Drosophila melanogaster: one gene and its partner. The protein of the gene in region 2 binds, or shares a complex with, the protein of the main gene of each other region. Each region holds a gene or a part of one and is shown on either strand. Other genes may lie near its edges.

The links.
Region 1: rig (region 2) and Glos share a complex: the UniProt entries of both Drosophila melanogaster proteins name them as parts of the core survival motor neuron (SMN) complex.

Annotation. Positions count from the first base shown.
Region 1 is NC_004354.4:3,931,933-3,938,313, reverse strand, and holds the start of Glos (gaulos), read right to left. Parts: upstream 1,798-6,381; 5' UTR 1,493-1,797; coding exon 1,375-1,492; intron 1,322-1,374; coding exon 1-1,321. Other genes in the region: CG2938 (uncharacterized protein), read left to right, coding at 2,317-2,584, 2,958-3,054, 3,135-5,358. UniProt on the Drosophila melanogaster protein: Component of the survival motor neuron (SMN) complex that catalyzes the assembly of small nuclear ribonucleoproteins (snRNPs), the building blocks of the spliceosome, and thereby plays an important role in the splicing of cellular pre-mRNAs.
Region 2 is NT_033778.4:20,637,622-20,644,002, forward strand, and holds the start of rig (rigor mortis), read right to left. Parts: upstream 3,061-6,381; 5' UTR 2,961-3,060; coding exon 1,529-2,960; intron 1,471-1,528; coding exon 1,158-1,470; intron 1,101-1,157; coding exon 938-1,100; intron 876-937; coding exon 722-875; exon of another isoform or gene 697-721; coding exon of another isoform or gene 1-696. Other genes in the region: CG13436 (uncharacterized protein), read left to right, coding at 1-696; maf-S, read left to right, coding at 3,465-3,497, 3,545-3,925; CG11110 (uncharacterized protein), read left to right, coding at 4,216-4,309, 4,375-4,796; Tcs1 (Threonyl-carbamoyl synthesis 1), read right to left, coding at 4,956-5,702; Polr3K (RNA polymerase III subunit K), read right to left, coding at 5,702-5,887, 5,963-6,103. UniProt on the Drosophila melanogaster protein: Component of the survival motor neuron (SMN) complex that catalyzes the assembly of small nuclear ribonucleoproteins (snRNPs), the building blocks of the spliceosome, and thereby plays an important role in the splicing of cellular pre-mRNAs.

The DNA of each region.
Region 1 (6,381 bases), on a different chromosome or scaffold from region 2:
CGTAATAGCAGTACTTCCATCTTGTCCTCGACATTTAATTGCATAAATAAGGGACGCAGTACTAGGCTTAGCAGCTCTTCGTAATCATCGTTGGACGAGGTCTCGTCCTCGTCGTCCCCCTGATTTACTTCCGTAACGGATATGCCCTCGTCCTCGACCACCATTTCGGACTCCACCACCTGACCCAGGAAACTGAGTATTATCTGGGCATGTTTCTTGGTGAGCATAATTAAATGATTTGCCATCGTTTCCAGGCACTCATCGCTGCCAAAGGCTATGAAGCGGCTAAAGAGATTGTCCAGCCCGGCGAGCAACTCCTCATTGGTGGCCATACCGGAATCGATAAAGGCCAAGAGTTCACCGATTCTCATCTCGGCAACGCGCTGCTCCAATGTTTTTGCTGCATCCGCAAAGCTCTGCATCTGCTTGCAAACCGGATGCTCTCCGAGCAACTTATCTGATTGGAGTACTTTAAGCAATTCTGCCGTCTGTCTACAGATTAGCTCCTGGCAGTTATACAAAGCACTTTTCGATTTCATTTCATGCCAATACATATACGTGTCTACGCTAACGAGCTGAAAGATACGCTGCAGAACGTCTAGCAGTATTTGGGCGAAATGCCGCAGATCAGGCATGGGATCGCTTGAGTTGCTGTCACTGATGTCCTCGGTTATTTGGCTGTAGACGGCGAAGCAATTTGGTTTCTCCCGCTTTAATGGATCATTGAGGGTATACAAAAGGACTTCTATAAGGTGATCCATAGCCTTGGCCAGGTAAATCTTTCGAGTGGATGGACGCGGCAGCGTATGGAGGCGCTGTTTAGAGTCCAAGATATGACGATGTTCCATGCAGGCTATCTGGCGCAGCAGTTGCTTATTTTCTGCGGGCAAATTGCAGTTGACAATTGCGCGACCGGCTGCTCTGAGGGCGGCAGAGAGCAGCGGTAGTGTTTCCACGCAATCTGAATTAATGACCGACAGAGCCTCATTGAATGCCTCAAAATACTGGATGGTCAGCCAGCGGGGTCCACAAGCAAGGAATTCCTCCAGCGGCTCCATGAGACAGCAGTTAACGGCTATTGCGATGGTCAAGAACAGTGGGATAGGCGGCAGCTGGTTACACAAATGCATGACATTGGCGCTCCACTGCGATTCGCACTGGATATCATCGTGTGCAGTGTTCAGCACCAGGTACACCAGTAGTCCACGCAGGTGATTCATAGCACAAGGATCCATTGTGTCTGGCGGCTGTATGATTAGATCGTGCTCCACCAGCAGGTCCGTCACTTGGTCGCAGATCTTCGCAATGTGCTCATCGTTTCCTGAGAACAAACAATGTTCATATTTGGGCACTAACCTCTGGTACTTCACTTACCACTCCAGTAAATCATGTCCTTCAGACGCTGGACCTTCTCGTTGTAGTCATGAAATAACTTCTTCAGCTGGACAAACAATTGGCAATTGTCCAGCGGGTGCTTCTTAGCAGTTATCATAGTGCTGCCGAAACTTCGCGTTTTGTCAAAACTTTTCCGAACGAATTCAATTTTATGTGCGTCTTCTCGTCAGATGACTATCCAAAATCGATAGTTGCGTACCACTTATCTTGCGTGCGAAGAATATTTTTTGAAAATGAAAATGTCCCGAATACAAAAATTTCGCTTTGTTATGGACTCTCTGATGTAGATTTATTCCTATTTATTTAACTTTATTTCTAATTTTTTTCCTATGATATGTAAATATTTTTAGCTGAAAAATAAATTAAGTATTGTAGTGCCTTATTCGATAATTAATAATTGATATTATTAACGATCCTCCCTTTCGACAGGAATGCTGAGAGATCATCTGTTCGTTATCGATAGTCTTGTATTGCGTTGGAGGGCAATAGACGCGGCTGCCTAACGGCCGGCAAAGCAAAAGCTAATGCTTAAATGGTAAAAAAATAAATGTATATTTGCTATAAAGTATAGTATTGTGTTTTTCGAAATTTGATAATTGATATTATTAACGATCTTTCCCGTTCGCCCACAATGCAGACAAATCAGCTGTTCGGTGTCGATAGTTTTGTGTTGTGGGTGGCGGTCGATAGACGCGGTTGTCTATCGGCCGGCGAAGCAAAAGCTAAAGGAAAGTAAAATAAAAGCCAAGCAAGAGCGAAACAGCAAGCGATAGGAGGAGTCGGTCGCTGCCTAAGGAACAAGCGGAACTGGGTTAAAACATGCCCATGCAATAGGCCAAATTATCTATATTATAGGCCAGACTTTCCGTCGCAGACCGTTTGGTGGTGGCGGTGGAGAAGGCGGCAGACGGCTTATAAATTATGGAGCTACGCGAACTGCGCGGTGGAAATGGTGGAAGCGTAGGAGGCATTGGAGCAGCTACAACCGGAACCCCCGGAGTGTCAGTGAATGGAGCCCCTAGTCCCGAACTAGGCGGCATCTGCATTGGAGGCGCCGCCGGAGGACAGCGTATGCCCACCAGAGCGGATATATTTATGGAACAACTAAACGCCACCAATGCCAAGAAGGTGGCTTTGCTTCTGGTCCTCGGCTTCATCGTCTATCACGGCCTGCTCAACTGGAAATACGGTGGGTCCAAGGTTACAAGATCTTTAAAGATCTAAGTACTATGAAATTTATAATGGATGTGGATACGGAATCGTACCCATTTTAAGATCACAATTGTATACCAATGTTCACTTATTCTTCTCATATTATTAATGAGTCAGTTTGACGTTTGACCATATTCGGTACATTTTAAATAGTAAAAAAGGTTTTTACAAACTTTTAATCTCAAACGTTTATGTAAATATAGATAATCATGTCGAATTTTAAGATTAGTGTACAAATTCTGCAGTTGGTTGGATTAATATAAACGACATGTAAAGTTCATATTTGGGATGTTGGCTGCCATCGTATGCTTATTATGGATATTGATTTGTTTTGTTTTGTTCTCCCGCAGGCAGTGACTCCTGCCAGTGGCTGCTGTCCAAGGGCCGATTTAAGGGCGACAACGAGTGGCAGCCGTACGGTTGCATGGTGCACAAGTACTCCCTCACGTGAGTAATCAACGCACATTCCCGACAAGATAACCCCCCAATTAATGAGTCACCCAAACCGAAATTCTCATTATTTACAGTGACACAAGGCGCTGTTTGCGTTACCTCGCCTTCTTCGACAACAAGAACAACTTTGTGTTCATTGGCGACGAGAGTATACGGCTGCTCTACGAACGATTTGTGGAGCAACTTCGCCTGCCATTGGCCGCGGATGAAATGGCCGACGAGGAGGACAATAACGCCTCGGTGACTGATGGCTCAGCCCGTTTCGAGGACAAGAAGCTGCATATGCTGGCCCAGTACATTCGGGCGGAGGAGGTGAGTCCGTCGCTTGTGGAGCAACTGTACCGTCTGGAGTCTGAGAAGCAGCTGTCCTCTGTGTACGTTGTGGGCTTCACCTATGCCGGCTTGCTCGCTGGCAACACCACAGACGATGTGCTGCGGCAATATGCCGCCAATCTTACATTGCTGGTGGCTCCGTTTCATCGCCTGGTGGCGCAAACTTCGCGGGTCCTCTGGAAGCTAGCAGACCGCGTGGACGAGGAGAAATTGCCCGCGCACTGGAAGCTGCTCCAGAACGAGCAAATCGATCGATTAAACCATGTGGCCAGAGGAGTTTTTCGCTACACGGAGGCAAGTGTTTGGGAATCCGCCTGGCACATAGCCAATGGTTTGCTGGACAACGCCATCGATGGTCATCAGCTGTGCGCCCATGGCCAGCGACTGGAGGTTCAGCTACTGTGGAACATGTACTGCAATGACTACATGAACTACAATGATGGCACCTGCTGCAGCAGTTCTGAGCCATACACCACGCTGCAAATAGTGGCATACGCCTTGTTTGGCGTCTGTATGGCGCTTGTGTGTGGCATGTGTCTGCGCAGATGGGTGCTTCACCTGCGGGGCCAGACTTTGTATGTGCCCCTGCAGCAGCAGCAATCTTACGACGGGGGAAGAGCAGGTGGAGGATCACCGAGCAATGCCTTATCCGCTCTGATAACCGACTATGGCACTCCCATGGTGGCGCTATCACTGCTGGGCCTAATTTTGGCCTATTTCTACCTCTGCGATCGCACAAACTTCTTTATGAAGGAGAACAAATACTATTCTGAGTTTAGCTTCTGGATACCAGTGGGCTATGTCTTCGCACTCGGATTGTTTTTTACGGAAGATTCACGGTTCACTAAGGTGCTCAATCGCGATCAAACGGATGAACTGCGTGGCTGGATACTGCTGGTGGTGCTTATATATTACATGACCGGAGCACAGCGAGTGCTGCCCATTCACATGCACATTAAGCTGTTGATCTCAGGATACTTTTTCCTTACCGGATACACGCACTTCACGCATATGTGGCAAACGGGTGGCAGTGGCTCCCTATTCGTACGCTTTTTCCAGGCCATGTTCCGGGCAAACTTTCTCAGTGTACTGCTGTGCTTCTGCATGAACCGGCCGTATCAGTTCTACTATTTTGTGCCACTACTATCCTTTTGGCTGTGCATCGTATACTTTGTGCTCGCACTGCCGCCACGAATTTCGTCCGCATCGGTGGACGCCAATCCGCTGCACTATCTGTATTTGGTGTGCAAGTGCATTGGTTGCCTGGGCGGCATCACGGTGCTCTTCATGTCGGAGGTATTCTTCGAACGGATATTCGTAACGCGACCGTGGAAAGCGTTGTTTGTGACCACTGACGACGACCTGCACGAGTGGTGGCATCAGTGGAAACTGGACCGGTATACGGTGGCCTTTGGCATGATATATGCCGCCTGCTTTCACATTGCCCAAAAGTACAATGTGTTCGATGACAACAACCATGGGAATCTGTTTTCGCGAAGGACATCAATATCAGTCACATTGCTGGCCCTGCTGGGCGTCGGGGTGTACACTTCGTTCTCGTTCCTTTGCCGCAACGTTCAGAACTGTGAGGAGATCCATTCGTATATACTGTTCATCCCGATTGTGGGCTATGTGGTCCTCAGGAACATTTCGGGTATTCTACGTACACGATACTCGGCGTTCTTCGCCTGGTTTGGCCGCATCTCGTTGGAGCTGTTCGTCTGCCAGTATCATATTTGGCTGGCCGCCGATCGGCATGGAGTTCTGGTGCTGCTGCCCGGTTTCCCGACGCTCAACATGATCATTACATCGTTCATATTTGTGTGCGCATCGCACGAGGTGCACCGCCTCACCCAAATCCTGCTGCCGTATGCGGTGCCCAGCGACTGGCGTCTGGTCATGCGAAATTTCGTCATCTTCCTCATCGTGCTCATACCCGTCGCCCGATCGGATGGCATGTTCTGATCCTGAGCGATTCGCAATCCAATTGCCGCCCAGGTATTGACCCAAAGTATTCGATAGATAGCATAGCCTATTCGGCAAATATGGAACGAACTTAATTGTTTAACGTCAGGGTGGAACGGTTCTGTATTTAAGCTTATGACCTTAAAATCCATTTGCCATATCTCGATATTTTTTTAAAAGATACTTAACTCTAAGGCCATGGGTCAAATATTTGTTTTCGTTTTGCCTAAGAAACCCCGGGATCTGGCATTTTTGCTAAGATTCAGACAAGACAATAATTTAATTTGTTAATGTTAGCTCATTATGTTCATTCGATTCGAGTCGGGATCAAATAACTTTCAGTTAAAGTATATTTATTTTTGCCTATTTAGCAATCGAACCACCCTAGTTTGAAAAGTGCGTGTCATAGCTATAAGAAGAAAATCGTAGTCAACTCTCGAAATGAGATGTAAAACCTTACTTAATGCAATTTCATTTTTAAGATTAAAGCTCCTAAAATCTATTTACATATATGTTTGTTTAATAAGTTAATTCGGTAGCTGACTTTATATGGCTTTACCTGCAACTGCACAATATTCTTATGGTTCTGAAACGCACTGTAGGCACACACATGATATATGTATGTGTATATCGGAATTATTTGCGCCGATGTATACAGCCTAGGGTTAACTTAGCCTTAATTAAATTTTGCACAAATTACTTAACAACTCACCCAACCAAACACACTCACACTCAAACATAAGCAGCGGCAAACCAAATGTATGTATAAAGCAAGAGAATAAAGCAATGGATATACACTTATTTGACACACTATACAGCGCCGGTCGGAAGCCATTGGCCGGAAAATTTATCACACTTTTCGGAAAATATGCTGCAACTCTGAACTCTGGACTGGCGGCCACTGAACTGGGCATCCTCCAATGCGGGCACGTGGAGGAGGCTGCAGAAATTGTGCTCATTGACATGCTGCAAACAAGCTGCAACTAAGTCCAAACTACACCGAGAAAAACTATCTGTTGCTGG
Region 2 (6,381 bases):
CTGAACCACATTGTTGAGTTAAACAAGCTGAGGGAGCAGGTGGAGGCATTGGTCGTCGACGACTTGATGACCCTGACAAAGGCTACGATTGCCGAGCTGCAGGCGCTTCATAAGCGGATAAAGAAGCCCAAGGTCTGCAGCTTTGAGGAACGCATGGATGCCGTGAAGGAGTTGCAGACCGATGGCAACTTTTGCAAGCTCAACAAGGCAGATATAAAGGAGTTTTGCTCTCTAGCCATGACCATTACCAACGGCCTGCTTATGCCGGCCCAGGTGACCAGAAAGCTGTGCTCCAATGTGGACATTACATTTGGTTTCCGGGACCCAAGATACGCTCGATTCGCGGAGCTGCGATTTGAGCCTTTCATAGCCGCCTTTAGAAAAGTGGTTTTCAACAATGCGAACCTGGCTCTGCTGTTCAAATTGGACGATGCGCTAATAGAGCAGGAACTGCAGAATCTGGTAGTTGAGCCACCAAAGCAGACAGATTTTGAGTGTCAAACCGAAATGGTCGTCACCAACGACCTAACGCCAGCAAACTGGATAAACGTAACATGGAATGCGTGGGATTATCATCGGGAGACAATCCACTTGGCCAATATACGTAAGAAGCAGACCAACGACGCGCAGACCAACATTAGTTACGGAAGGCGCAACGCACAGAATCAAACCTACAACTGTCGGCAACATAAGTAGAGAACGGCTAAGAACATATACTCACCGATTTTCGATTTTCTTAAATCAAAGAAACCTAGAACACGATTCACAATAAAGTATATAAAGTGGTCCTGCCACACAAGCGAGTAGACTTCTTTTTTGTGCGGCGTCCGTAAGTGTGTCTTTACTTTCATGCGCTCCACATCCAGGATGCCCACCTGTTGTTGAGTTGTATATTTAGGTTCAATATCCAATAAAATAGACGAAATCAAAGCCATACCGTTCCGTCGAAGGTGCCAAAGGCCAGTTCCAAGCAGTTTGGACTCCAAGCCAGGCAGTAGACGTTGCTGGACACATAAACGCTGTCGATGGGCAGGCAGCTGGTGGTGAGCTTCGATATATCGAAGAAGGCCACACGGCGATCCGAACAACCCAAAGCGATTCTAAACGAAAAACAGTTTAGCAACGTTTGCGAATGGCATATTATCTTATTAGCTTACTTGTTCATATCATCTGGACACTCGGCCATCGCTCGCACTCCAAACGCCACTGTTCCGTAAAAGTCAGCCATCCGGCCAGTTTTAGGATTCATCATTCCAATCTGGCGATTGTTTCTGCACAACCATATCATCTCTTTGCTGGAGTCACAGGCAAAGGACACGATGTCTTGCAAATGGCAGCTGTGTGATTTATCCTTGCTGATCTTGTAGCGTAGCATCTTGCGCTCGAACTCCACGGACCAAAAGAATAACTGATGGCGACTCAGGGAAACAATGACATGGTTGTTCAGCCAGTAGACGTTGTTAAGCTTGCCTGAAGAAAAGATCCCAGTTGAATGCTTGCTTTCAATGGTTTGATTCTTTCCACTTACCCGCCGTCTTGCTTTTGCTGTAGTTCTTGCCAGCATGCGCTCCCGTATTGGTATTCCAGATCATCATCACCTCATCGCCGTCAATGGACACGAGCAGAGTTTCCAAGTGGGTGCTGTTCACGGATGTCAAGCTGATGGTCTCCGCGCTGATGGCCGGCACAACTTGGAGATTACTCTGAGGCTCAGACTTGGTCTGCGGTGTTCCTGAAGCATGTACCTCGGCCTGGTGGTAGATGTGATGCAATACTTCTCTTTTGGGCTTTGCTGCCTCGCCATCGACGATCACGGCATCATCACTGGACGAGCTGTACTGGATGACCTCCAGACTGCCCTCGGTCGAGTCGCTGGCATCGTTCTTGTTGCTAATGGTGCTGGCATCACTTAAGGGACCCGTAGGCTTTGTGGGCTCGCAGTCATGCAGCGTGACCTCCACGTGCTGCGTTTTATCCTCCTGGCGACTGGCTAAGAGTTCGGCTTTCACACTCTCGCAGGCCTCAACGAAATCTAAGACAGCGGCACCAGCTGGCTTCTCTAGACCCACAAATTCGCCGCCACAATCCTCTGAAGATTTGCGGCGGCGTTCAGCTATAGGTGCACCGAACTCGTACTCAAGATGATCAAAGTTGTATATGTCGAAAGGGTCGTCGGATTCGGCTGCCTTCGATTTGGTCAGTGGTGGTGGCTTTGTCTTGGGTTTCTCCTCCTGGCCGCCATTGCGGCTTCGCCACTCTTCAGCACTTAACGCCAGATTATTGGTTTTTTCGTCCTCGGCAGCAGGCACCTCCCGCCAGGCTAAGCCGCATATGGGCGCTTTGTGGCCGTGGAACTTGTAGACGATGTTCATTTTGCGCAGATCGCAGACCAGCACATTACCCATAGCCGTTCCCACAGCGAACAAATTGTCATTGTAGGGCGAGCAGCGCACCATAGTGAGTTGGTGATTTCGGGGCGAGATGAAAGTGGAGCGACGGCAGTAGGTGTTGGATGCCACACAATAGATGACCAGATCACTGGCGTCCATGGATAGAATGTTACCATTGGCCAGGTAGCTCATCAGCACGGAGTTGGTAGTGTGGTGCACGACGCGCACATCCCGCGCCTCGTGCTGGTGCTGATGGGCCTTGTGCCCGATGACGGCTTCGCCCAATGCGCAGTCCCACACCTGAACGCTTAGATCGTCGCCCACAATGGCGAATGGCTTGGTCGGCCCACCGTTGCCCAAGCCCCACATGGGACTAACGTCCAGGGCCAGTATGTTGATCCGCGTCGACATGGTCACCACTTGGGGCTGCTCTCCGTTTGCCGGCGGCGCGGATATGTAGTTGATGCAGCGAATGCCGGCGTACAGCAAACCGCCGTCGGGAGCAGCGGCCGCCAAAGATACGTTGCCCGGCGGTGTGGGCACATTGTGGTACATCACCTGCGAGTTCATGGCGAACAATAAGGACTTGGCATCTGCAGGATGAAGGAATATTTCCCGCTAACAGTTGGCGTCGTTCGGGGAAAAAACTTCTGTAAAGCTGTTAGTGTTAGGCAGCTTCTTAAACTTTGCCAGCGATGCCACCTGGAAGGCACGGAACTTAACAGTTAATTAAAATTGATAATAATTAAAATATAAATTTGTTATTTTCGAACTTGTATTTATAACAAAAATCTGGATCTGCTTTATATAAATAATTTAAAAATATAACTAAGTACCTTATGCTACAAAGCCTAAAATCTAGGGATCACGTTAGCTTTAGTATATTTAAATTACCCGCTATTTACCACAGACGTTTTTTGTCTATCTGCCAACTCTATGCAATCCATTTCCTGTGAATGGCAACCAGCAGGTAGAGAGGAAGAAGAAGACACACAATAACAACGCAAAAAAAAAAGGTAGAAAAATCTAGCAAATTCTAAAAGTCTCCGTAAAAATAAAATACAATCGGCCACAATGGAAGCAAAGCGCGAGAGAAAGTCATCCCTGGTACGTACCTTGTAGATATATGCGAAGAAGAAAGAAAACCCTGATAGAAGTGCGATTTTCAGGCACCACTTTCGCCATGTCCAATTCCGGATATTACCGATGACGATTTGGTGAGCATTTCGGTAAGGGATCTTAATCGGACCCTCAAGATGCGTGGCCTGAACCGCGAGGAGATCGTTCGGATGAAGCAGCGCCGGAGAACCTTAAAGAATCGCGGATACGCAGCCAGTTGCCGCATCAAGAGAATCGAACAGAAGGACGAGCTGGAGACTAAGAAGTCGTACGAGTGGACGGAACTGGAGCAGATGCACGAGGACAACGAGCAGGTGCGCCGCGAGGTGTCCAACTGGAAGAACAAGTACAAGGCGCTGCTGCAGTTCGCCATCCAGAACGAGATACCCATTCCCAGCGAGCTGGAGGGCTGCTGAACGATTGCCCAGTCACATTCCTGTTTCTGTCAAAATTACAATAAACCCAAAACGGAAAAAAACACCTGTAACTAAAGTACAATAGCTGGCAAATATCCTTCCTCAATAAACGTAATCTGCTCAAGAACCTCTGCATCGCCTTTATTGAAGCACCCTGTATTTAGCATAAACAAAACCCGTGTCGGCGCTGCGCTGCGAATGTCATAAGATCCGGAGCGCACAAGGAACTCGGCAAAAGGCTGGTGGTTATGTATTCATCTCGATAGCTCCGCTCTCCAACCAGTTCATCCATGGCATTTCGGTTCTTTGGCAAGTCCTTGCTGTACGCTCTGCCACTTGGCGTCACTTTCCTGGACTGCGTTGGTTATGTGGCCAGGGTGGATGGTGAGTCGTCCGGAGTTTATTCGCTCCATGTTAGTGTGCGCTAATTAATCCACAACTTTTTGCAGGCATCTCCATGCAGCCCGCTCTCAATCCCGTGCCGGATGAAAAGGACTATGTGTTCCTGCTGCGCTGGGGCACCCACAACAGTCAGGTGGAGCGCGGCGACATAATATCGCTCATTTCACCCAAGGATCCCGCCCAGAAGATTATCAAGCGCGTGGTGGGGCTGCAGGGCGACGTCGTGTCCACGCTGGGCTACAAGCACGAGATCGTTCGCGTACCCGAAGGACATTGTTGGGTGGAGGGCGATCACACAGGCCACTCCATGGACAGCAATACCTTTGGACCCGTCGCCCTGGGCCTGATGTCCGCGCGGGCAGTGGCCATCGTGTGGCCACCGGAACGCTGGCGAATACTGGAGAACGAACTGCCGCGGCGACGGAGACCCATACAGGCCTCCAAGAACTCCAGCAACTACTACAACTAGACTGACCAACTGGCGGAGAGCCTGCGCCCAAGATAGTTCCAATTGTGTACATACTGAACCGTATATTTTATAAACAATTTGTTGTGTTCCCGCATGCAAAGCAAAGTAGGATGTTCCAAAGTAAAAATTAAAGTTAAAGCCAAAGGAATAGCTCTTATACTACATCATTTTTAGCTCCCGAATGCCGAACTCCTCCATGAGGCTGAGTGTCGGCTTGAGAGCCACGCCGGCGCGCACTATTTCATAGTAGCCAGGAGTGGCCAGGTCAATGACCGTGGAGGCCAGTCGTCGCTCCTCGGTCAGACCGATTCGACCGGCATCGAAGACGGCGCCCAATTGGGGCCATAGGGAACGGAACTCGGACACCTGCAGACTGCTGGGCGCACTGGAGCGATTGGCGCTGGTCAGGGCCAGGGGCTTCTCCTGCCACACGGCGCACAGGTCGCGCATGAAGTTGAAGTCCGGAATGCGTATGCCGATTTTGGAGGTGCTGGGATTAAGGAAACGGTTGCTCAGCTGGGACGTCCGCTCGATCACGATGGTCAGGGGGCCCGGGAGCAAACGAGTTAGCAGCTCGTCGCTGAGATGGGCAGCCTGACCAAAGCGTCGCAACGCATCGATGTTGTGAACGCAGATGGCCACGGGCTTGTGTTCATCGCGACCCTTAATCTCGTAGAGCTGCTGTATGGCTGTCTCGTTGTTGGCATCGCAGGCCAGGCCATACACGGTATCGGTGGGCAGGGCAATCACTTGGCCACCAAGCAGGCACTGGCGGGCCAACTGGAGAGCAGCCTCGTCGCCCACCGCGCACACTGGAGTCCTCAGCTCGCTCGCTTGGTGCTGCATTCTGCTGGATGTGTGGTGAGCACGGAGCAGTCGATAAAGGCTCGTTTGAAGGCGGCGCATTAGTCTCGCCAGGTGTGGTTGCACTCGTGGTTGCAGCACTTGTAAAACGTGGTCATGGGCTCATCCGCCGACCGCGTCTGGATTTGCATAAAGTACGCCCGCTTATGGCCGCACGTTGGACACTCTGCGTCCGTGGAGTCTACGTTCTCCCACGCCGCCTTGCCGCCCAGCACGTGATCCACCTCCTGGAAACACAGATTATCAGAGATATTATCATAAATTCGTAGCAAATTGCATCATCCAGTGGAAAATGATCATACCTTGAGGCGTGGAAAGGTTTTCGTGGAGATCTTGCGCCTGATCTTCGATATGTACGGGCAGGTGTTGCACGTGAAGCGATGGCAGTTGGTGTCCTCCTCGATAATCAATATATTTCCGCACGACGGGCAGAAAAACAACATAGTTTCGGAGAATCCGAATCCGCGCTGTTTAGTTTTTTGATTTGAGCACGTTGAATTCTCAGTGTGACCGCGTATACGCTTAGATATACTAACTCAATAACATCACAATGTATACTGCAATACCATATGTTCCACCGTTCCTCCATAGATGCTAATTTGAAGCACATTATAATAATTAATTAATAAATTAATTATTTGTAATAAATAAAAAATATTTTCAAATACTGTTTGAAAATTTCATGTTCGGAATTTAGTGAATTTATTACTTAGCCCTAGCA